Saccharomyces cerevisiae S288C: one gene and its partners. The protein of the gene in region 1 interacts with the protein of each later gene in a biochemical or structural test. Each region holds a gene or a part of one and is shown in the gene's direction. Other genes may lie near its edges.

Region 1 (9,245 bases):
GTAGATTTAGGTTTGCGTTGATTATTAGGCATCTATTGACAAAGAAACCCATTTGTGCATTGCGTTTTTACAGTGTTATTCGTAACGAAATAAGAAAAATATCAGCATTTGAGCAAAATTCGGATTGTGTTCCACTTGCTTTCGATATTTTAAACTTATTAGTGACGCATTCAGAGTCTAATTCGTTAGAAAAACTTCACGAAGAATCCATTGAACGTCTAACCAAAAGAGGTTTATCGATTGTGACTTCTTCTGGTATATTTGCGAAGAACTCCGACATGATGATACCTTTAGATGTAAAACCTGAAGATATCTATGAACGTAAGAGAATAATGACAATGATTTTATCAAGGATGTCATGTTCTGCTTAGAGGTGTTACATAAACTAATGAAAGAAATATCAATATCTATCTGTAAGCATGAATGTACATATCTCATGTTAGGGTTTTCTTATCGCTAATTTTTCGCAATTTGTTACGTGGGTTGCTTTTATACAGCTACAATTTTTATATATTCTATCGTGTAATGAATGGCTCAGTAAATTCAAGCGCCACATAGACTAATGTACATACCAATGCATTTTAATTGTAAGAATAAAAGGGGCCATTCATCTACCGTCTTAGTTGAAAGTGTTTCTGTGAATTTTTTCAAATTCCGTTTTTTCCTTTTTATATAATAGCATGGTGGCACGAGCATCTTCGACTGAAGAATGCTCACCTTCTTGAATGGAAATTTTTAAAACCTCCCTGGTTAATTTCTTTAAGCTGGGTGTTTTACCCTTAGCATACAACTTCCTGAATGGGAGGTGTCTTGAAGTGTCCCTGAGTAGTGACTTTGGGTGGGATAACATCAATGCTTCGAGATCATGCTTTAAAGCGTGCCCTACAAGAATTCTACCTTCCAGAATATCCGCAGTCTTTTTTTGAGCTTCTTTGAATGTAATGGCATTTTTCATATGCTCTGGTTTAATACCACTAACCCAAGTTCTCCATTCTACAACTTTCTCTCTTGGCTTAACAAATTCATCGAGGACGACATGTCCAAAATAATTTACGATTGATATTCTAGCTAACGCAGACTCTTTACCCTCGGGACCAACGCCTACAAATTCACAATCCATGGCGATGTATTTCCCAATTTCTTTACTCTTATTACTATTAATACGAGTATCTTCCGAAATACCCACTTTTACTGGCTCTTTAATAGTAGTACTAGTATTTGCTTTATTTGGGTTGAATTCAAACACTTTTCCCTCGAGCTTGTCTTTCTCATGCTTACTAATCTCCTTGTTCATGTTATATACCATGTCCATAATTTTACTGCCGTTTTTGCGCTTTCGAGGGGCATATTGGGTTGTACTACTGACATTTACTGTTTTGCTAACTTTCTTAACGTTTCTGATTTTCCTATTTGATTGCTTATTCTTTCCATTGGAGGTAGGATTGCTTTCGGAGGCTAATAGTGCCTGCCAGTTTGAAGAGAGAGCCATTAAAACTGTACGCTATCTACTTTATTAAATCTGTAAACGTCTATGAAGCCTCTAGAACCAGGCTTTAAATGGATTGTGGTTGCGATGAGGTTAGTTTAACTTTTGAAATTTTTCTTTTTTTTAGCCGACCTTACATATCAGCCCGCGTCAAAAAATATACGGTATAATAATTCTCAATAGATACAGGCTACTGAACAGGAAAACTAAATAAAACAGTGTTTGTAAAACCCCCACCACACCATAATAAGACGATAATGGACACGGTGACGGTATTAAATGAACTGCGGGCTCAGTTTCTACGAGTGTGTCCGGAGAAAGATCAAATGAAAAGAATAATAAAACCGTACATACCCGTAGATGAATTCAACACAGAGCAGTGCTTAGATTCTTCTATCCGTGAATTATATATGAACTCAGACGGCGTAAGCTTGTTACCTGAACTAGAGTCTCCACCGGTATCTAAGGATTTTATGGAAAACTATGCTTCATTAGGGAAAATGAGGATAATGAGGGAGAATGAAGGCCAAAAAGGAAAGGCTAACCAGAATTTAATAGGAGCAGAGAAGACTGAAAGAGACGAGGAAGAAACACGAAATTTGCAAGATAAAAGTGCAAAAAATACTCTGATAGTTGAAGAAAATGGAACACTTCGTTATAATCCACTTAATTCATCTGCGTCGAACTCTCTTTTAAATGATGACGACCATACCAGTGGAAAACATCACAAAACTTCCTCAAAGGAAGACTCATATTTAAATAGTTCGATGGAAATGCAGAAGAAATCTAGTAAGAGATCGTCGCTTCCTTTCGTGAGGATATTCAAAAGTCGAAGGGACCACTCAAATACTTCTGGAAATAAAAATGTCATGAATACAACTAATACAAGAGCAAAATCATCTACTTTGCATCCACCTGGTGCTCGCCATAATAAGAAAGGCAGTAAATTCGATATGAACTTCGATTTCGATGAAAACTTAGAAGAAGAAGATGATGACGACGACGATGACGAAGAAGGTGACGATATACACTCTCAATTTTTTCAGTTAGATGATGATTTTGATGCTAAGGGTTCTGGAGCAAGTCCAGCCCACAAAGGCATCAACGGCATGTCCAACAATAAAAACAACACCTACACAAATAACAGAAACAGCATCAGCATTCTTGATGATCGAGAGAGTTCAAATGGCAATATAGGAAGTGCTTCAAGGTTAAAATCTCATTTCCCCACAAGTCAAAAGGGGAAAATTTTTTTAACTGACAATAAAAATGATGGACAAAAATCTGATTCACTGAATGCCAATAAAGGTATACATGGAGATGGAAGCAGCGCCAGCGGTAACGGATCGGTGAGTAGGGACGGTTTGACGGAAACGGAAAGCAACAATATTTCCGATATGGAATCTTATATCAATGAAAAAGATTTAGATGATTTGAATTTTGATACAGTGACCTCAAACATAAACAAAACAGTATCTGATTTGGGAGGACATGAATCTACAAATGATGGAACGGCGGTCATGAACAGGGATTCAAAAGACAGCCGCAGTAATAGCAATGAATTCAATGCACAAAATCGTGACCGAATCACTCCTGGCTCATCATATGGGAAGTCCCTTTTAGGATCTGAATATTCCGAAGAACGTTATTCTAATAACGACTCGTCAACCATGGAGAGCGGTGAAATGTCTCTTGATTCAGACATGCAAACTAATACTATACCCTCTCATTCCATACCAATGTCTATGCAAAAATATGGCATCTATCATGGCGATGATGACTCTACCTTAAACAATGTCTTCGATAAAGCCGTACTGACTATGAATTCATCGCGACACCCAAAAGAAAGGCGCGATACTGTTATATCAGGAAAGGAGCCAACATCCTTAACCAGTTCTAATAGAAAATTTTCTGTTAGCTCGAATTTAACTTCAACAAGGTCTCCTCTTTTACGAGGACATGGAAGAACTTCATCGACGGCCAGTAGTGAACACATGAAAGCCCCAAAGGTTTCTGACAGTGTATTGCATAGGGCAAGGAAGAGCACGTTGACGTTAAAGCAGGACCATTCTCAACCTAGTGTTCCATCAAGTGTCCATAAAAGCTCGAAAGAGGGGAACATCCTTATTGAGAAAACCACCGATTATCTAGTGTCGAAACCGAAGGCCTCACAGTTATCGAATATGTTCAACAAAAAGAAAAAGAGAACAAATACTAATTCTGTAGATGTGTTAGAATATTTTTCATTTGTTTGCGGAGATAAAGTACCAAATTATGAATCAATGGGTCTCGAAATATACATTCAAGCTTCCAAAAAATATAAAAGAAATTCCTTCACTACCAAAGTCCGAAAATCGTCTACCATCTTCGAAGTTATTGGATTTGCTTTATTTTTGTATTCTACTGAGAAAAAACCGGACAATTTTGAAGAAGATGGATTGACAGTTGAAGACATTTCTAATCCTAATAACTTCTCTTTGAAAATTGTCGATGAAGACGGTGAACCTTTTGAGGATAACTTTGGTAAACTAGATAGAAAAAGCACTATTCAATCAATTTCGGACAGCGAAGTTGTTTTATGTAAGGTTGATGATGCCGAGAAGTCTCAAAATGAAATTGAAACACCTTTACCATTTGAAACTGGTGGGGGCCTAATGGATGCTTCTACTTTGGATGCTAACAGCAGTCACGATACAACTGACGGAACCATCAACCAACTAAGTTTCTACAAACCTATTATAGGTAATGAAGACGACATCGATAAGACAAACGGTTCGAAAATCATTGATGTAACAGTATATTTGTATCCTAACGTGAATCCCAAATTTAACTATACTACCATAAGTGTTTTAGTGACCTCACATATAAACGATATTTTGGTAAAATATTGCAAAATGAAAAATATGGATCCTAATGAATATGCATTAAAAGTTCTAGGAAAGAACTATATACTGGACTTGAATGATACGGTATTAAGGCTCGATGGTATTAATAAGGTGGAACTCATCTCTAAAAAAGATGCAAGGGAGTTGCATTTGGAAAAAATGAAACCTGACCTAAAGAAGCCCGTTTTGCCAACGATCCAAAGTAATGATCTAACTCCGTTAACTTTGGAGCCTCTGAACTCTTATCTCAAAGCAGATGCTGGAGGGGCTGTGGCTGCCATTCCTGAAAACACGAAAGTTACATCCAAAGCTAAGAAGATATCCACGAAGTATAAGCTGGGCTTGGCAAAGCAGCATTCGTCATCAAGTGTTGCTAGTGGAAGTGTTTCAACGGCTGGCGGTCTCGCCAATGGAAATGGGTTTTTCAAGAACAAGAATTCATCCAAATCCTCTTTGCATGGGACACTGCAGTTTCATAATATAAACCGTTCTCAGAGTACGATGGAGCACACGCCTGACACTCCAAATGGAGTTGGAGATAACTTCCAAGATCTTTTTACCGGAGCGTATCATAAATATAAGGTATGGAGAAGGCAGCAAATGTCATTTATAAACAAGCATGAAAGAACACTAGCCATTGATGGCGACTACATATACATTGTACCCCCGGAGGGACGTATACATTGGCATGATAATGTAAAGACTAAGTCGTTACACATTAGTCAAGTGGTTCTTGTCAAAAAATCCAAAAGAGTCCCTGAGCATTTCAAAATTTTCGTAAGAAGAGAGGGGCAAGATGATATCAAAAGGTACTACTTTGAAGCAGTTTCAGGTCAAGAGTGTACTGAGATCGTGACGCGATTACAAAACTTATTAAGCGCTTATAGAATGAATCATAAATAAGTAAAACCCATTATACTGCATCTTACCAGCATTAATTTTGGTTTATATCTAAATATGGTATAGAAAATACTTCATCGCGATCTCGATGGTGATTGGTCAGAGTCCGCTTCTCGATGCAAAGGGAAAAAAAAGAGCTTTTTAGGAGCAAGTCCCCCCATAGAGCACATAACTCGTTAGCATTGAATAAGGCCAGGTGACTTCAAATAATAATTTATAACTACGACAATGGGTGCTGCTTATCATTTCATGGGGAAAGCTATCCCTCCACACCAACTAGCCATTGGGACATTAGGACTGCTAGGTTTATTGGTTGTTCCAAATCCTTTTAAAAGCGCAAAGCCAAAAACAGTCGACATCAAAACAGACAACAAAGACGAGGAAAAATTCATTGAAAACTACTTAAAGAAACATTCGGAAAAGCAAGATGCGTAAATATAGCTTGATTGCTGCGCGGTTGAAGATCTTTTGTACATACAATAAATATTCTTTATATATACAGCTTTCGATATTCAAGATTTAAACATTAAATTATTAAAAAGAGGTCTATAACTAGACAGTTGCTACATCCACTCTTTTCTTGTTATATCTTTTTAATATACAATGTTATGTAAAACTCTCTGATAGTATTATGCTTATTATTTAAACAAGGCATCGTTTGATAAAGGATCGGCGGCAAGAACATTCTCTCTTCTCTTAATTTTTCTTTCCACAGCAGCTTCAGCTCTAGACTTTGCCTCCTCAGCAGCTTGTTGTTTAATTTGAGCTCTTACGACGTTTGGCGAAACATATTGTTTATTTTCATAGATCTTTGGACCACCAAATGAACCTTCTAGGATCAAAATGACAGTCATAACAAACCTAGGGCCAATTTCCACTAATGATATGTCTTCTTCGCCATCTTCATATTCTTCTTTGTTCTTAGTACTGTGTGAGATCTCATATGTCCTCACCCATATTTTATCATCTACAATACTGAAGGACATGACGTGATCAATAAATGGCTTAGATTTTCTAGCATTTGGTGGTACACCAAAATTATGCACTAGCAACTCCTTAATTAATTGGTAGTGTGGGGAGGATTCGAAACGTTGATCAAACGACAATACCGGACGAGAACCCTTTAAACAGTTACCTGTAAAATTCAACTCATCCATAGTATGCAAGTTTTGAATGTAAAATTTTATAGTTGGCCCATTTGGCGGCTTGGATAACCATAGATACAAATCTTGGTGTTTTCTGGCCTCAAAGAATAGAACATTATTACAATTGTACAACTCAGCGATTTCGTTCAACTGTTGAAGATCCTTTTTAGTATCCAATTTTGGCTCCTTTCTGGAATGAGGCAATAATCCGCTTAAGTCTTGAATTAAATGACGATGTCTATAGTTAACACCTCTACTCGAAATCAGAAGAGTTCTTTGCTTGTTCATAAATTGCTTGACATTGCCTTGCTTCTTTTCAGATTTATTATCTTTGCTCTTTCCTGCGAGGGCTTTGTAGATAGAAGACATCTTTGGTTGAACTCTTTCAACACCTGACGAATGTATAAAGAAAGACGTGAAGCAAAATAAGGCTAAGTAACCTTCTAACTCGTAAATATTATAGCAATTTCTGTATCTTTTTAGGTGATAGATTCTTTGAGAACCATCGCGATGAGCATCTAAAATTTTTCAGTCACCTTTAACGAAAATCACTGTCCACGGACCGCCGAGGGCTTTAGGAAAATAAATAATAAATGTCAGCTGCAACAGAATTCATTGGCGAAGCAACGATACATAACGAGCTCGGTACAGCAATCATCGCATCGAAGCATGTCCGACAAGATACAGGAGGAGATATTAGGACTAGTAAGCAGGTCCAACTTCAAACAATGCTATGCAAAACTGGGGCAATTGCAAAAACAATTTCCCAATGCGTTGTACTTCAAGATTTTGGAAACCTATGTTAAATTCAAGCAGTCACCTGGTAAGTTCGATTACAATAAACTGCTAGAAGAACCATATGGGCTGAAAGGGACAACGATTACGGGCGACACGCGTTCCTTGGAGTTTTTGCACAACTTCTTCGTAGAGTTAGGGAAATACGACGAAGCATTGCACGTGTATGAAAGAGGAAATTTCAAATTCCCTAGCTACGAATTGTCTTATCACTGGTTTATGAAAGCATTGGAAGATTCCAATTATAACCAAATGAGCAAAGCATCTCTACAGCTAGCTAAATACAGTGACAGTGGAAACCTGCCTAAAAGAGCATATTATTTTTGGAATGCAATCTCGATTTTAGCCGTATCAAGGTTTCAGGAAAACACTCTTTCAGATCCCAAGAAAATTTTGCTCTCCAGGCTAGCGCGCCAGTCTTTGTTAGACTTGAAACCATTTCAAAATGTTCAAGAGATTATAGTTTATTGTTTGGTGTTGGATGAACTATTCCCTCAATCTAGAGAAATCTCGGAAGAGATTGTTGCGATTACCTTTGCCAATTTTGATACTTCAGTAAACTTGTATTTGAAAAACTTTATCTTGAAGCATACCAAGTTATTGAATTCTCCACAAAAACTTTTTGAAGTTTGTTCAAAACTTATTGAAAAGGGCCTTGATGATTATGAATTGATCACAAACTTGATTGATGCTGCCTACAAACTTTCTAAATCTAAAGACGAAGTCAAACAATGGATTGATGAAAATTTGGGAGACTCAAGGAATACTCGATTGGCGCGCTTGAAACTTGATATAATGTACACCGATTCGGTTTCGGAATCATCTTTGTCGTACTATTTATCAAAGTACCATAACAAACCTTGTTGTTCAATCGATTTGAATCATTACAGCGGCCACATTAACATAGATATGCTTAAGAGCATTATGTCTAAGTACGATCCAGAGGATAAGGATTTGATTCATCATTGTAATATTCTAGAATTGGGACTTATTGGAAGCGACTCAATCAATAACTATAACAAGTTTAAGGGGACCCTGGAAAAAAAATCGGTAACGGATTATTCCTCCTGTTCTACATTCTTATTAGAAATAGTCAAGGACAAGTGCAAGAAAACTAATCCTGAATTGAAAGACGTGCTTTTGTGTATAACGATATTGGAAAATTACCAAGCCAAGGACCCTCATAACTTCGATACTATGTGCTGGCTGATTGTTTTATACATGTACCTGGGTTTAGTTCCCGATGCTTATTTCCATTTCATAAACCTAAAGATTAAAAACGTTCAAACAGATTCCCTAGATTACATGATATTCTCGAGATTTTCTACTTTGTTCCCGAATAAACAGAGCGATTTTTACTCCAAGACATTCCATGAACATAATAATTTATACGATACATCACTGGCTAATTTACCAAGATATATTCAGGTGGCATTCGAAAGAAATTCATATAGCAAAATACTAGGAATGCTCGAGATGAGGGATAAACTAATGAAATCCTATACAAGATGGACCAAAACTTTAGAAAACTTACAGTTCTCACGTTTATGCAACGACAAGCGCGGCCACCTACTACAAAAATTACACGAAGATTGGAGATCTTTAGAAATGACGCAAAGTGTATCATTTTCTGACAATAGAGACTTTTCCATATTAGATGAAAATTTTGCCCAATTTCTTAACCGTGGTAAAATTTTGGAATATGCTAACTTGAATGAAGAATCAATTTTTCTAACTTTGATAAGAGAACTTATTATTGAAGCTTTGCCAAATGGGGAGAAAACGGAACAAATAAGTGCGCTCTTAAAAAAACTTCCATCAATTAACCTTGAAGAGTTGTTGAATAATAATTTAACTGAAGTGGAGTCAGCGTCATTTCTGATTTTTTTCGAAATTTACGAAAATAACGGTAAAAATCTACATGATTTAATTTCTAGGTTGATGAAAGTCCCAATAAATGCAAAACAAAACTGGATGGTATCCCATACTTACCTTACTAAAATGGCAACCTTAAAAACACTAGACAGTTTGAAG
Region 2 (7,188 bases), on another chromosome or scaffold:
ACAAGCACTATAAATTTCAACTGGTGTTTTAAAGAAGAGAAAAACAATGACTTAAAATGCAAATGGAAAGAATGTCCTGAGTCTTGTAGCTCACTATTTGACCTACAAAGACATCTTTTGAAGGATCATGTCTCTCAAGATTTCAAACACCCTATGGAACCATTAGCTTGTAATTGGGAGGACTGTGATTTCCTTGGAGATGATACATGTTCCATAGTGAACCATATTAATTGTCAACATGGTATCAATTTTGATATTCAATTTGCCAACCCAGACTCATTTTTGCCTGGTAGTATATCAAAGGAAAAACATCACTTACTACATTGCCCCAACCCACAAACACACGAAGTTTCTAAAGCAGATGGAGCACCTGATATGACGTCTGCAAATGATGTTTCCAATATACCGCCAATCAAGCAGCCGGAACAGGTGATTTGCCAATGGGATGGTTGCAATAAGTCATTTTCCAGTGCTCAGGAATTAAACGACCATTTAGAAGCAGTACATTTAACCCGGGGTAAGTCTGAATACCAATGCTTGTGGCATGACTGCCATCGTACGTTCCCCCAAAGACAAAAATTAATCCGTCATTTAAAAGTGCATTCGAAATACAAACCTTATAAGTGCAAGACATGTAAAAGGTGTTTTTCAAGCGAAGAAACTTTAGTTCAGCATACCAGGACACACTCTGGCGAAAAACCTTACAAATGTCACATTTGTAATAAAAAATTCGCGATTTCAAGTTCTTTGAAGATTCATATAAGAACCCATACTGGTGAAAAACCTTTACAATGCAAGATTTGTGGTAAGAGATTCAACGAATCGTCAAATTTGAGCAAACATATTAAGACCCATCAGAAAAAATACAAGTGCTCTGACTGTTCCAAAAGCTTTGACGATTTGGGAAAATTGAACTCACAGAAAGTGAAATGCGCATTGGAAAGAAAACCATATTTATAAATGTGATCATCATGGTCCAACGTAAGAAGGGCGGTTTTCAGGATCACATAAATGCATAATTAGAAACATTTCATATTTTACCTAGACTACTTTTTATTTATAATTTTTCGCAAACTCTTTTTTGTAAGCTTTTACAGTACACTTTTTTTACGTAATAACGTATTTCAAGCTTTATTTTTTGTATACGTTTCAGAAAAGGGGGTGGGGGGGAAGGACATTGTATATATAGATCCTATGAGTGACAACTAGGTAACCGAAGAAACACTATTAGATATATAGTTTGAGGGATAGCATAAGTAGAACTTAGAAATGAGTTTAGTACCATATGAAGAAGGTTCGCTGATTTTAGATGATCCTAATTCTAAATCAGTGGTGGTTGTTAATCCAACCTCAGGAACTTTATCATTTTTCCAACAGGACAACAGTAATAATGACTCTGAACTAAATGAAGACCAGACTGCATCTTTATCAGCACTGGACTTTCCTTCAGGGATTCATCAATACAAAAGCCCTATTGCTTCCTATGTGTGCCCGCAATGTGGTACGGAAATTAACCCTGATATTATAAACAGAAGACAACTTCATCGTCGAGCCTCTGCTGGAGTAGAATCAGAAAGCAGTAGGCTCAGTATTCCAGAGAACACTGTGCCACTTGGATTTGAATTTGCCAATTCAAGCTTTTCAAGAAGATATTTTCAGTCATTGGAAAGAAATCATCGGCACTACGCCCTACAAAACGATAGTAACAATAAGCAGGGACAGTTCAGCAAAAACAAATACTTTATTCCAGATGATTTGTTTATCCCCGGATACTTTCGTAAATTTTTCAAAATATTGTCTTTGCTGGGAAATGGTGCAAGAGGTTCTGTTTACAAAGTTGTACACACAATTGGTAATACTGAATTAGGTGTTTTTGCACTAAAAAAAATACCTATTGGAAATGATATGGAATGGTTTAATAAGTGCATACGGGAAGTGAAAGCGTTGAGTTCGCTAACTCACAAAAGTGCCAATTTGATTACGTATAATCATGTGTGGCTCGAAATGGATTCTTCGGTTGGATTTGTCAGATCCATTGATGGGAGCCAATCGGATTCACAAGAAGAAGTTCCTTGTATTTTCATTTTACAACAGTATTGCAGTGGCGGCAATTTAGAAGACTGTATTCTAAGAAAAGTGTTCAATAGGTTCTCAGATACCGAATCACCTGAAGAGAGGAAAAAAAAATTTAGAACTCGCAAGAAAAATCACGGTAAATCAGGAGAAGTTGGCCTATCTACGGAACAGCTCGTATCCATTATAAGGGATATTGCAAGAGGTTTACACGAACTGCACAGTATTGGCCTAATACATAGGGACTTGAAACCATCCAACTGTTTATTATTGACTCCATTTAAAAGTGACAATGAGAATGACAACGTATACGACAGGGAACACAATTCAGATGAGTTTTTCCCATCAATTGTTATTGGCGATTTGGGGGAAAGTCAGTTGGAAGGAGAGTCCAGATTGGGTACTGGTTGCACAGGAACATTAGAGTTTACAGCACCAGACCTTATTATCCAGGGGAGACCAGTTTCTTCTTCTACGTTGCCTTCAAGATCGAGTCACACATACAATGAATACACCTTTGCTTCCGATATGTATTCTCTAGGAATGATTTGCTATTTTATTGTCTTCGGTGAATTGCCCTTTGAACCACAGTTGGATATAGTTGATTTGAAGGTACGCATCAAAAATTTTAGGTTCGACACTGAAGGTATGATTGAAAAGCATCAAGCGATGAAATTGAAACCAATAGACCGTAGAATATTTCACCTAATGGACGCTCTTTTACAACCAAATAATGATGCTAGACCCACAGCGAAGACAGTGGAGGAGACGTTAGATGAAATGCTAATAAATTCCAAACCCGGCAAAAAATTCTGGAAAGAAAATGTGGATAGCACTTTGAACTTCAGTACAATCTCGGAAGTGAATGAGAATACCAACAGTTTTACTGATGATTATATTGACGGAGACAACGTTACTTTATCATTACCAGCACCAGAGGAAAATTTGAGCACCGTATCAACCCAAAACCTCCAAAAGTATTCTGCTTTAAATAGAACAATCCAGGTTTGTTACAAACTAGTTTCTATGATATTAACGATAATCATATTTAAGTGTACCAAAACGGGGTCGTGGCTCTCTTATATGTCACTGATATTGTTGGGAATGGTTTTTAAATCACCAGCTGATGAAAGAGGTAAGCATGCAAGAGCGTTGGTTTTACTGGCCTTCATCGCCGCATGCAAAAAATACATATACTAACAATAAGTACACATTGCAAACTAAATAGCACGTAATTTATTTTTACTTTACAAATTTATAGAAAATATTCTCGCTTATCACCAATGTTCACGAATCATCTTCACCTCTTCTAAGGGCCGGTGACAAAGGTGCATAATGTTAGAAAAATTGACCGATGAGTAAATTTATAGAGGGAATAACCAAATGAAAAGATCTAGGTGACAGAAACGCCAATTGACCTCTGTAGAAATAAAGTTCTTTCATTATGACAGCAGAAGATATACTCCTTCGAGAAAGAACATCTACTACGACACAACGCCCTGTCAATAGCGAACAATACCTTAATGTGCAATTAGCCACAGCCCCAGTAAAAAATTTTCAGACTACAAGCGAGATTAGCCGGCAAACTCTTGTAGACACATCAAATGATGACGTTTATTCCATCAAGAATTTGAAGGGCTCGAGGAACCCCATTAGCCCTAGTGTTTCTAACGTTGGCTTCCAATCCATATTCCATACAGTAGATCATCCTCGATCGAAGGTCAGTGTGGCCTCAAATCATTCCTTGAGGAGCAATGACAATGCCTCAGCTGCAACATCTAAATCTGGTTCTTCTCAGATAGGGGAATCTCATAGCGTTGACACGGTGGAGTGCTCGAACAATCTATCTAAAAAGTTATCTTCTGATGCAATATCCATTACTCAGAAAAGTTTACACTCCACGCCCTCCGGCAGGTATATGAAAGGAAAGGCTTCTGGCTTTTTTAATAGGAGAAACAGAGCACATACGACCATTTCATCGGATCCTGCCTCCTTTTTGACAGATTCAAGCACCTTACATAATAGTTCACATTCATTTCGAAACGTGATTAAGAACTTTTTCCAAAATAAAAGCCACAGGCACATTGGTCAAGATGCTATCGAGCCTGCAATTCCAAATTCCTTGAGTAAATTTCTGCATTCCTCTTACGGAAGACATAAATCTCCGTCACAATTTATTCATACTAATGCGGGGCAACTTGTGGACTCAGGAACTTCTGTGTACTCATTGAATGTTAATCCATCTGGTGTCAATCCCAACACAATCGTTGAGGATCCGCTTTCTGGAACTGATCCTGCCTCACCGAATCCGGTCTCAATGTTACACGACCTTTTAAGAAATTTACCATCTCTGGAAGCTAACTATAAACACTTCAACTCCCAAGAACTGACAACCCTAACAAATAATATTTGGAATATATTTTGTAGTAACGTAGCAGAATTATTCAGAACTCAAAGAATATGGAAACTCAGGGCCAAAATAGAAAATTTTAACGAAGTTTTAGAATTCTATTGCATTTTAAAAACAGATCCAAGAGTCACACATAGCGGCATGAATAGAATTATCAGCGATTTGAAAGAATTTTTGGTTAGTTCCCTATACAATTTAGAAAACCAAATTGTTTTTAACTATTCTAATGAAGACACAATAAATAACGCATTGAAAAGATTAGGCGTTATATGGCGGATATTTTATCAAGAGGTATATTATGATTTAGCCGCTGTGTTATTACCGTTGGATCAGAGTATCAGAGAAGATGGTAATTCTACGGTTTTAAAGTCAGGCAATGAAAGTCGGACTCACATTAATGGTAATTATTCTATTGGGTTTCTTTTGCTTATGTGCTTTAGAGATTCAATAGTCTTACCTTGTTATGAAAACTTCGTAAATAGTAACGATGGTATCAGCAAAAGTTTTCAACTTTACATTTTCAATCAAGAAGAAGAAAGTAATGTCACAGAAACAGATAAATTGACATTACTGCAGTGTTTTGGCATATTGAGTACCATTCAAAGTAATGATAGAAATCAACGAATTATCGAAGAGTTATTAGCAGGCATTAGAATGAGTATATAGAAAGCATCTAACACTTTATTTCAATCTCCTATTTAATATCACAACAAAACTTTATTCCATCCTACACCAAGGTCTGTCATCGGCAATTTGATGCCTACAAAGTTTGGGTTCTAGCCCCAAACCAAGTAACGCAGCCAAAAAAACGCCAAAGGAATCAGCGATGGACACAGCACCCATGGCGAACTCTGTTTCATCAGGATCCTCTTGTTCGAGAATATTTAAGAATGTGTTAACATATGACGCACCACCAAGAAAACCCTCATAGAATATTAATATCATCACCGCCCAGGGCGAATGTGTGACATAAAACCATGATTGCAGTACCGTTATGCACAAATTCACACCTTGTAAAAACGCTAAGATGTATAAACTCCTCATTCTCATAAGATGTCCAAAGGATCTTGATATAAAGACACCTAATTGGTAGAGCGTTCCATAGGTTACGTATATATCTCTGTATTTATGGAAGAAAAATGGCATCGATTTACTTCTTTCATCACCATTAATCGGAAATAATAGGGTCGGAGCTACCGCTTGGTTTATTAAATATTCGAATAAGTAGACGGTGGTCAATGGAACCATGTATGGAAAAACCAATCTTCGAAGTCTCTTGACCGTTTGCAAAATGTGCTGTCTTGTAGAATACAGGGATTGCGAAGCGTTGGTATGTGTAAAGGCGACAGGAAAGGGCACCAACTGGTCATCCTCTGCTTCGTCAATTTGTTGAAGACTTTGGTAAGTCAGGTTGGTATCATTGGATTCTAATTTAAAATAAAACAAAAATGCAAATGGAAGGAGACTAAATACTAGTAAAGTTAGCTTCACTGGAACTTTAAAGATTGAAGTTAAGAACATATAAGATGCTCCGCCAATGATTCCTGCACCACCAGTACCTGACGACCATCCATTCAAAGAAATTTGTTTGTAATAGTGTGTTAGCTGTAGGAATGTCACTTCTCCAAATCCGGAAGATATAGATGCGAAAGATATTCCTAAAAGACAAACAAACAAGTTTTTAAAAGAAACTAAGAACATTCCTAAGCAACTCATCGTGATCAAAGACCATATTCTATAGCTGTACTTGATTCTATCAATAAAGAATGGGGAACACAATTTAATGGCGAGTGATGGGAATATATCTGCTAGCAATACTAGAGATTTAGGCAAGGTAGGACCCACGATATCAACAGCTGCTGAAAGTATTACCACATAAAGTACATTATTGATCAAACCAAAGAGCCAAAAGTAGCAATATATCTGATGAGATTTGTCACTCATTTATATTTACTTGCGCTATATCTTCATATGTGTTTAAGTACTCTATAAATACACTGTTCAAAACATTACTAAATGTTCATATTGTCTATTTTTCATTAAGGGTTCACTTTTTCTTGTAGTACGCGAAGAAAATATGGAATTATTCTGGAATATTGATGTTTATATTTACCACTTCTGCATAAAAATATACATGCTTTATAAAATCTATATATTGAGAAAAAGGAGTATAAAAAAAAATTTATCTTATAAGTAGTCCTTGAGTAGTTTTAATCTCTCTACGGCATTTTCTAGATAAGCATCATCTTTACAAACTGCAAACCTTAACAAATTCTCAGCAGCCTTTTCGTGCTCTTTGATATAGAATTCAGTTGGTGGAATGGCAACCACACCTAATTCATTGATCAACCAGTGAGAAATGCGAAAATCTTTTCCCTTATTCAGGATCTCCTCTGGGTAGGGATAGTCCTCGGGAATTTTCACTTTAGAGAAATCAACGAGGACAAAATATGTACCCTCTGGAGCTGTATATGGTAGTCCCAATTCATCAAAGATCGATGTGAAAATTTTGAATTTGTTGATATATTCCTGTCTCATTTTTTCAAAATACCCAATTTTTAAAGCGTCGTTAATAGAGTTTGCACAAGCTTCCTGTAGAGGGGATGGAGATGCAAAACAAATTCTTGTATGTGCCTTAGCTGCATAACTTAACAACTCTGCGTTCAAGGATAAGACCCAACCAATTCTCCAACCAGTAGCAGCAA
Region 3 (7,840 bases), on another chromosome or scaffold:
TGATCAATGATTCCAGGGAATTTGAAATCCCAGAGCTTCCTGACTCATTGAAAAACAAAATAAGTCCTTACACGCACAAGAAATTTGATAGCACAAAATTGGTTGAAGTGCTCGGCATCAAGAAAGTAGACAAATTAAAACTCGACTCCGAACTAAAAACTGAGCTTGAGAGGGAAAAGATCCCGGACCTAGAAACGCTATTGAAGCGCGGTGAACAACACAGTAGGGGAAGTCCAAACAATAGCAATAATTAAAAAAGGTCTAACATCCTTTGAGTTATGTTTTCGTCACCACAGTTAAAGAGAAAAAAAAATAAATAGCGGGTAAATAATTGTCATACTACTGATTTGCATTGTTACCTTGTAACTTTGAACACTAGCCATGCAGGTTGCTTTTCCTCCTTTACACCTTCCCCCCTGTCGCTGTTCAAAAGTAAATGCAACAACAATAAAACGTGGGTAGAGGACGTTCCCTGTATGTACTAAAATCATACTATCATCCGTTGAGGTCGAGCGGTTCTCTAATCTCAACACACGCTGCTGCCCCTGAGCTTGCGAGCTAAGGACAACAGGGCCAACTTGTTCTTTCTAGGGGGGAGAGGCCCAACTTAGGCTCGGTGAAGAGAAGCGCGGAGCTCACGAAAAGGGGTGGTGTCGCGCACTACTTTTTTCGTGGGGAACTTACGTGAAAGGGGACGTTATACTTTTGTTATGTGCAGTTCCAGGAACAAACAGGGGTTGAAAAGTGTAAAAGAAATAGTTGATTCTTTCAGAATCTGGATGACTGCCGCCCGAACAATGTGGGAAATATAAAAAGGTACCGTTAATATTGTTTCATTTTCGAAGATAGTGTTCCATGTCTTTCTTCAGCGTTGCTTGAACAATAGGATAATAAGAAGAAGATCAACCAATCTTTCTCAGTAAAAAAAGTAACAAAAGTTAACATAACATGTCATTTCAAATTGAAACGGTTCCCACCAAACCATATGAAGACCAAAAGCCTGGTACCTCTGGTTTGCGTAAGAAGACAAAGGTGTTTAAAGACGAACCTAACTACACAGAAAATTTCATTCAATCGATCATGGAAGCTATTCCAGAGGGTTCTAAAGGTGCCACTCTTGTTGTCGGTGGTGATGGGCGTTACTACAATGATGTCATTCTTCATAAGATTGCCGCTATCGGTGCTGCCAACGGTATTAAAAAGTTAGTTATTGGCCAGCATGGTCTTCTGTCTACGCCAGCCGCTTCTCACATCATGAGAACCTACGAGGAAAAATGTACTGGTGGTATTATCTTAACCGCCTCACATAATCCAGGTGGTCCAGAAAATGACATGGGTATTAAGTATAACTTATCCAATGGGGGTCCTGCTCCTGAATCCGTCACAAATGCTATTTGGGAGATTTCCAAAAAGCTTACCAGCTATAAGATTATCAAAGACTTCCCAGAACTAGACTTGGGTACGATAGGCAAGAACAAGAAATACGGTCCATTACTCGTTGACATTATCGATATTACAAAAGATTATGTCAACTTCTTGAAGGAAATCTTCGATTTCGACTTAATCAAGAAATTCATCGATAATCAACGTTCTACTAAGAATTGGAAGTTACTGTTTGACAGTATGAACGGTGTAACTGGACCATACGGTAAGGCTATTTTCGTTGATGAATTTGGTTTACCGGCGGATGAGGTTTTACAAAACTGGCATCCTTCTCCGGATTTTGGTGGTATGCATCCAGATCCAAACTTAACTTATGCCAGTTCGTTAGTGAAAAGAGTAGATCGTGAAAAGATTGAGTTTGGTGCTGCATCCGATGGTGATGGTGATAGAAATATGATTTACGGTTACGGCCCATCTTTCGTTTCTCCAGGTGACTCCGTCGCAATTATTGCCGAATATGCAGCTGAAATCCCATATTTCGCCAAGCAAGGTATATATGGTCTGGCCCGTTCATTCCCTACCTCAGGAGCCATAGACCGTGTTGCCAAGGCCCATGGTCTAAACTGTTATGAGGTCCCAACTGGCTGGAAATTTTTCTGTGCTTTGTTCGACGCTAAAAAATTATCTATTTGTGGTGAAGAATCGTTTGGTACTGGTTCCAACCACGTAAGGGAAAAGGACGGTGTTTGGGCCATTATGGCGTGGTTGAACATCTTGGCCATTTACAACAAGCATCATCCGGAGAACGAAGCTTCTATTAAGACGATACAGAATGAATTCTGGGCAAAGTACGGCCGTACTTTCTTCACTCGTTATGATTTTGAAAAAGTTGAAACAGAAAAAGCTAACAAGATTGTCGATCAATTGAGAGCATATGTTACCAAATCGGGTGTTGTTAATTCCGCCTTCCCAGCCGATGAGTCTCTTAAGGTCACCGATTGTGGTGATTTTTCATACACAGATTTGGACGGTTCTGTTTCTGACCATCAAGGTTTATATGTCAAGCTTTCCAATGGTGCAAGATTCGTTCTAAGATTGTCAGGTACAGGTTCTTCAGGTGCTACCATTAGATTGTACATTGAAAAATACTGCGATGATAAATCACAATACCAAAAGACAGCTGAAGAATACTTGAAGCCAATTATTAACTCGGTCATCAAGTTCTTGAACTTTAAACAAGTTTTAGGAACTGAAGAACCAACGGTTCGTACTTAAAACGAATGATTTACTAATGGCTTAATGATTTTCACCTTTTTCAATGAATATTAACGGTAAAGAAGAAAATTTCAATTTTTTGAACACATACTTTATATACTTAATAGATCCATATTTCGACATATTAGCAAACGATTGCATAGGTTTCTGAGTCTTTTTTTTTTTTTTTTCATAAGGAGGAGAATATTTTGGTTAATCGCAGTATCTTCTTCATAAGTGCTGTTTCTAATTATATCTAATTCACGAATTTTTCCCAAATTAGCGTATCCCCGAATTCAGATTACCTACCCCGAGTTTTTTATTATATTTCCCTCGAGAAATCTGTAAAATGGCCGTCATCCTTAGATTTATAAATAAAATGATAAAATTCAGCCAAAGTGCTCCTAAACCAGAATTGTTCAACTGGGTCAAATTATCGCGTATACAAATATACATATAGTAACATGCATTCCTGGCGAATATCCAAGTTTAAGTTAGGAAGGTCCAAAGAAGATGATGGGAGTAGTGAAGATGAAAATGAAAAATCGTGGGGTAATGGCCTGTTTCATTTCCACCATGGAGAAAAACATCACGATGGTAGCCCGAAGAATCATAATCATGAACACGAACACCATATAAGAAAGATCAATACAAATGAGACTCTCCCAAGTTCCTTAAGTTCTCCAAAATTACGTAATGATGCATCCTTCAAGAATCCATCGGGGATAGGAAATGACAATTCTAAGGCTTCCGAAAGGAAAGCTAGTCAGTCGTCTACTGAGACGCAGGGACCGAGTTCGGAATCCGGACTAATGACAGTGAAGGTGTATTCTGGTAAAGATTTTACTCTTCCCTTCCCTATCACCTCTAACTCTACTATTTTACAAAAACTACTAAGTTCCGGCATCCTTACTTCATCATCCAATGACGCTTCCGAAGTTGCAGCCATAATGCGGCAGCTACCACGATACAAGAGAGTGGATCAAGATTCAGCAGGGGAAGGCTTGATAGATAGAGCTTTTGCCACTAAATTCATTCCTTCCTCTATATTGTTACCTGGGTCAACAAATTCAAGCCCATTACTTTATTTTACAATTGAATTTGATAATTCTATTACTACTATTAGTCCAGATATGGGAACGATGGAGCAACCAGTGTTTAACAAAATATCGACATTTGATGTAACAAGAAAATTACGATTTTTAAAAATCGATGTCTTTGCAAGGATTCCATCCCTACTTTTACCCTCTAAAAACTGGCAACAGGAGATTGGCGAGCAGGACGAAGTACTGAAGGAGATTTTAAAAAAAATCAATACAAATCAGGATATCCATTTGGACTCCTTCCATTTACCTTTGAATTTAAAAATCGATTCTGCAGCCCAAATAAGACTATACAATCACCATTGGATTTCTTTAGAAAGGGGATATGGTAAATTAAATATCACGGTGGACTACAAACCTTCTAAGAACAAGCCTCTCTCCATTGATGACTTTGATCTATTGAAGGTTATCGGGAAGGGTTCGTTCGGCAAAGTGATGCAAGTAAGGAAAAAAGATACCCAAAAGATTTACGCTTTGAAGGCTCTGAGAAAAGCATATATTGTATCGAAATGTGAAGTGACACATACTTTAGCGGAGAGGACTGTCCTAGCAAGAGTTGACTGCCCCTTTATTGTTCCGTTGAAGTTCTCATTCCAATCTCCGGAGAAGTTGTACCTAGTATTAGCTTTCATTAATGGCGGTGAACTGTTCTACCATTTACAACACGAGGGACGATTCAGTCTAGCACGCTCCCGTTTTTATATTGCAGAACTATTATGTGCTCTCGATTCATTACACAAACTTGACGTCATTTATCGTGACCTAAAGCCTGAAAACATTCTATTGGATTACCAAGGACATATTGCACTGTGTGATTTTGGGCTTTGCAAGCTGAACATGAAGGATAATGACAAAACAGACACTTTCTGTGGTACTCCCGAATATTTGGCACCAGAAATCTTGTTGGGGCAGGGCTATACTAAAACAGTTGACTGGTGGACATTAGGTATCTTACTGTATGAGATGATGACAGGGCTGCCACCATACTATGATGAGAACGTTCCTGTTATGTACAAGAAAATTCTGCAGCAACCGCTACTATTTCCTGATGGATTTGACCCTGCGGCAAAAGACCTATTAATTGGCCTCTTAAGCAGAGACCCAAGCAGAAGACTCGGCGTTAACGGTACAGATGAAATTCGTAACCATCCTTTCTTTAAAGACATCTCATGGAAAAAGCTACTTTTGAAGGGCTATATTCCGCCTTACAAGCCAATTGTAAAGAGTGAAATAGATACTGCAAATTTTGATCAAGAGTTCACTAAGGAAAAACCGATCGATAGTGTAGTGGACGAGTACTTAAGTGCAAGTATTCAAAAGCAGTTTGGTGGGTGGACGTACATTGGTGACGAACAGTTGGGTGATTCTCCTTCGCAGGGGAGAAGCATTAGTTAGAAGCAAGCCGAAGCAAGCCGAGCCGAGCCGGACGGAATTTATAGCTATAGCCGCAAGAGGTTGCAATTTTCAAAAATGGATAGTTCAAGTAGATTGCGATACGCACTCCGTTACTATTGTGGTTAACGGGGACAAGAAGAACTACAGAAAATAGAATGGTCCGCAGAGGCTGCGCTCTTCTTTTAGCAACTCTCACACGACTTATGTTGCTTATTCATTTCTTTTACAGCATTATCAGAATTCTTCCATCTACGGAATTGAGATCAAAGACCGACCTGTTGTCGGCCGAAGGACGGACGCTTATACCCGCGGATGTCAAAGCGAAGCCCGCGGGGCGCAAGTCGAGGTTACCGGAATTCGCCAAACGGCAAAGGACCCTTGCATTGCCTGAAAGGAAAGATTCGCTTTTCTGTTTGTTGCCACTTTTCTTACATAGTCTGGGCCGGGAGCAGCTTATTTCTTCCGCGGATGATCCTGGATTTCCTTGCGCGGGCTCAGCCATGGGGAGCCTTACCTAGTCCCGTAAAGGGAAAAAGCTAACCTCATTCGCCTCACAGGGTGAAAGCGTGAACAAAAAAAAAAGAAAAGCTTAATGATTAAAATTTACAGTATATATATATTTGTATTTACGTATTAAACTATATATAAATAGATATGTATGCCGAAAAAGTAAAGTCTGGGTGATGCCTAGTCCAATCTTTCTTACTACTGTCCAGTTTCTATCGTAGCAGTTAATTATACATAGAACTGTGTAAATTCAACGCATTAATTTTTTTTTTTTTCACTTTCGCAGTTAGGGGGGACACATTTTTTTTGCCCTTTCTTAAGCTTCGTAAGCGAGTTACATCATTATTTCTTCCTGGGATACAATACGCGTTCGTACAAGTCACAGCTGGACCGTATAGGGAACAAGACTGCAACTCTCTCCAACTTGTTAAACAGAGGAGGAAAAGAAAGAGGGAAAAGAGGAACAAAGACAATCAAAGAAAAAGAATAGAAAGCAGTTGCTGAGCTCTTGGCATATTGTATACGGTAGTGGCGTATAATATAGTACGAGAATTAGAAATATGACGAATATGGCGGAGGATAAAACAAGTATAAGCAAGGTACATTCTGAATTCAGCAATTCCTCGAATACCACTGGATCTGAAGAGGAGAGTCGGTCGCATCAAGAGAGCTTCGACGGCGAGTCCAGTTCCGGTGAAAGTAAAAGTAAAAGCAAACTAAATCTTGAATATTCTGCAGATATCGAGCCATTGAAGTTCAGAATGACAAAAACTAATAATACAAATGACAAATTAAAATATAGTAACAACGGCAACGCCACTGATTCATTTATGAGACTAAAGGAACATTTACAGAGAGGCAATACTTTAAATTCGAATCTTAGGGTCAATGAGTTTTACCCTTTCAATTCCATTGATACAGAGCAATTTGAAAACTATTTGAGAGAGCCAAAATACATTAAAATGTTGAAACGTCGGAAAAACCTGAAACAATTTAGAAGATTGTTTCTCGCGCAAGAACTAATGGCCTACGAAGGTGAAACGGTTACCTCCACTTCCAAATCATCTGAACCAACCTCTAAAGCTATATGGAGTACAAAGTTTAGCCGCGATGGAAAATTTATGGCCACTGGTAGCAAAGATGGTAAAATAAGAATATGGAAAGTTATTGGCTCTCCAGTTGAAAGAGCCGAATTGGACTCGAGTGCGGAATCAAATAAAGAGGCACGAGCCAAGTCGATGCGGATCAAACAGCAGGTCAGTTCATTGAACAATCCAAAAGAAAAACAATTTTTGGATTCTGCTACAGAGAAATACGAAGAGAAGGAAAAATTATTGAATTTGTATGCGCCTGTCTTTCACCCAACGCCTTTGCGACTGTATAAAGAACACGTGCAAGATGTTCTGGATATAAATTGGTCTAAAAATAATTTTATTTTGTCAGCATCGATGGATAAGACAGTAAAACTATGGCATCCCGATAGGAAAAATTCACTTAAGACATTCATACATCCTGATTTTGTCACTTGTGTGGAATTTCACCCCACCGACGATAGATTTTTCATTAGCGGCTGTCTGGATCACAAATGCAGGTTATGGTCTATACTGGATGATGAAGTTAGCTTTGAGTACGATTGTCAAGACTTAATAACATCTGTTACATTATCCCCTGAGGAGGGAAAATACACTATAATAGGAACATTTAATGGATACGTTCATATTCTGATGACCAGAGGTCTCACTCCAGTTTCTTCATTTCACGTAGCTGATAGACAAACACAAGAACAAAACGCTCACGTCATGGTCACGGAAACTGACTCAAAAATTCGTCATGGTCCACGTGTGACGGGTTTGCAAGCTTTTAGATCTCAACTGGACAATTCTTTCCGCTTAGTAGTTACATCGAATGATTCGAGGATAAGAATTTTTGACTTAGAACAGAGGAAGCTTCTAGAGGTATTGAAAGGCTTCCATAGCGGATCTTCCCAACACAAGGCACAATTGTCCATCTGGCATGGTCAGCCAATCGTTGTAAATAGTAGTGATGACCATTGGGTTTACGGCTGGAGGTTAAAGTCTTCGGATAGAGAGAATGATCAAGACGAACCTAAAAGGAAACCAAAGGGATTGGCTCGGTCCGGAAGTTTGAGAAGCATATTTAGTAAATCAATGAGTAGGTCTTCCAGCCAGAATAACGAA

Evidence for each region.
Region 2: the proteins of AVO1 (region 1) and BIT61 form a complex in vitro, tested with the Saccharomyces cerevisiae proteins (one study listed by BioGRID).
Region 3: the proteins of AVO1 (region 1) and YPK2 form a complex in vitro, tested with the Saccharomyces cerevisiae proteins (one study listed by BioGRID).

What each region holds. Positions count from the first base shown.
Region 1 is NC_001147.6:179,939-189,183, forward strand, and holds AVO1 (Avo1p), read left to right. Parts: upstream 1-1,743; coding exon 1,744-5,274; downstream 5,275-9,245. Other genes in the region: Ras GTPase activating protein IRA2, read left to right, coding at 1-371; REX4 (putative 3'-5' exonuclease), read right to left, coding at 620-1,489; ATP19 (F1F0 ATP synthase subunit k), read left to right, coding at 5,500-5,706; ribosome biogenesis protein BRX1, read right to left, coding at 5,910-6,785; MDM20 (Mdm20p), read left to right, coding at 7,086-9,245.
Region 2 is NC_001142.9:324,203-331,390, reverse strand, and holds BIT61 (Bit61p), read left to right. Parts: upstream 1-3,517; coding exon 3,518-5,149; downstream 5,150-7,188. Other genes in the region: ZAP1 (Zap1p), read left to right, coding at 1-960; protein kinase IKS1, read left to right, coding at 1,270-3,273; amino acid transporter YHC3, read right to left, coding at 5,201-6,427; BNA3 (kynurenine--oxoglutarate transaminase), read right to left, coding at 6,671-7,188. UniProt on the Saccharomyces cerevisiae protein: Component of TORC2, which regulates cell cycle-dependent polarization of the actin-cytoskeleton and cell wall integrity.
Region 3 is NC_001145.3:470,715-478,554, reverse strand, and holds YPK2 (putative protein kinase YPK2), read left to right. Parts: upstream 1-3,101; coding exon 3,102-5,135; downstream 5,136-7,840. Other genes in the region: ATP-dependent DNA helicase YKU80, read left to right, coding at 1-254; YMR105W-A (uncharacterized protein), read right to left, coding at 297-491; phosphoglucomutase PGM2, read left to right, coding at 949-2,658; YMR103C (uncharacterized protein), read left to right, coding at 5,291-5,653; LAF1 (Laf1p), read left to right, coding at 6,203-7,840. UniProt on the Saccharomyces cerevisiae protein: Plays an essential role in the proliferation of yeast cells. Involved in a signaling pathway, required for optimal cell wall integrity, that acts in parallel with the PKC1-SLT2-dependent pathway.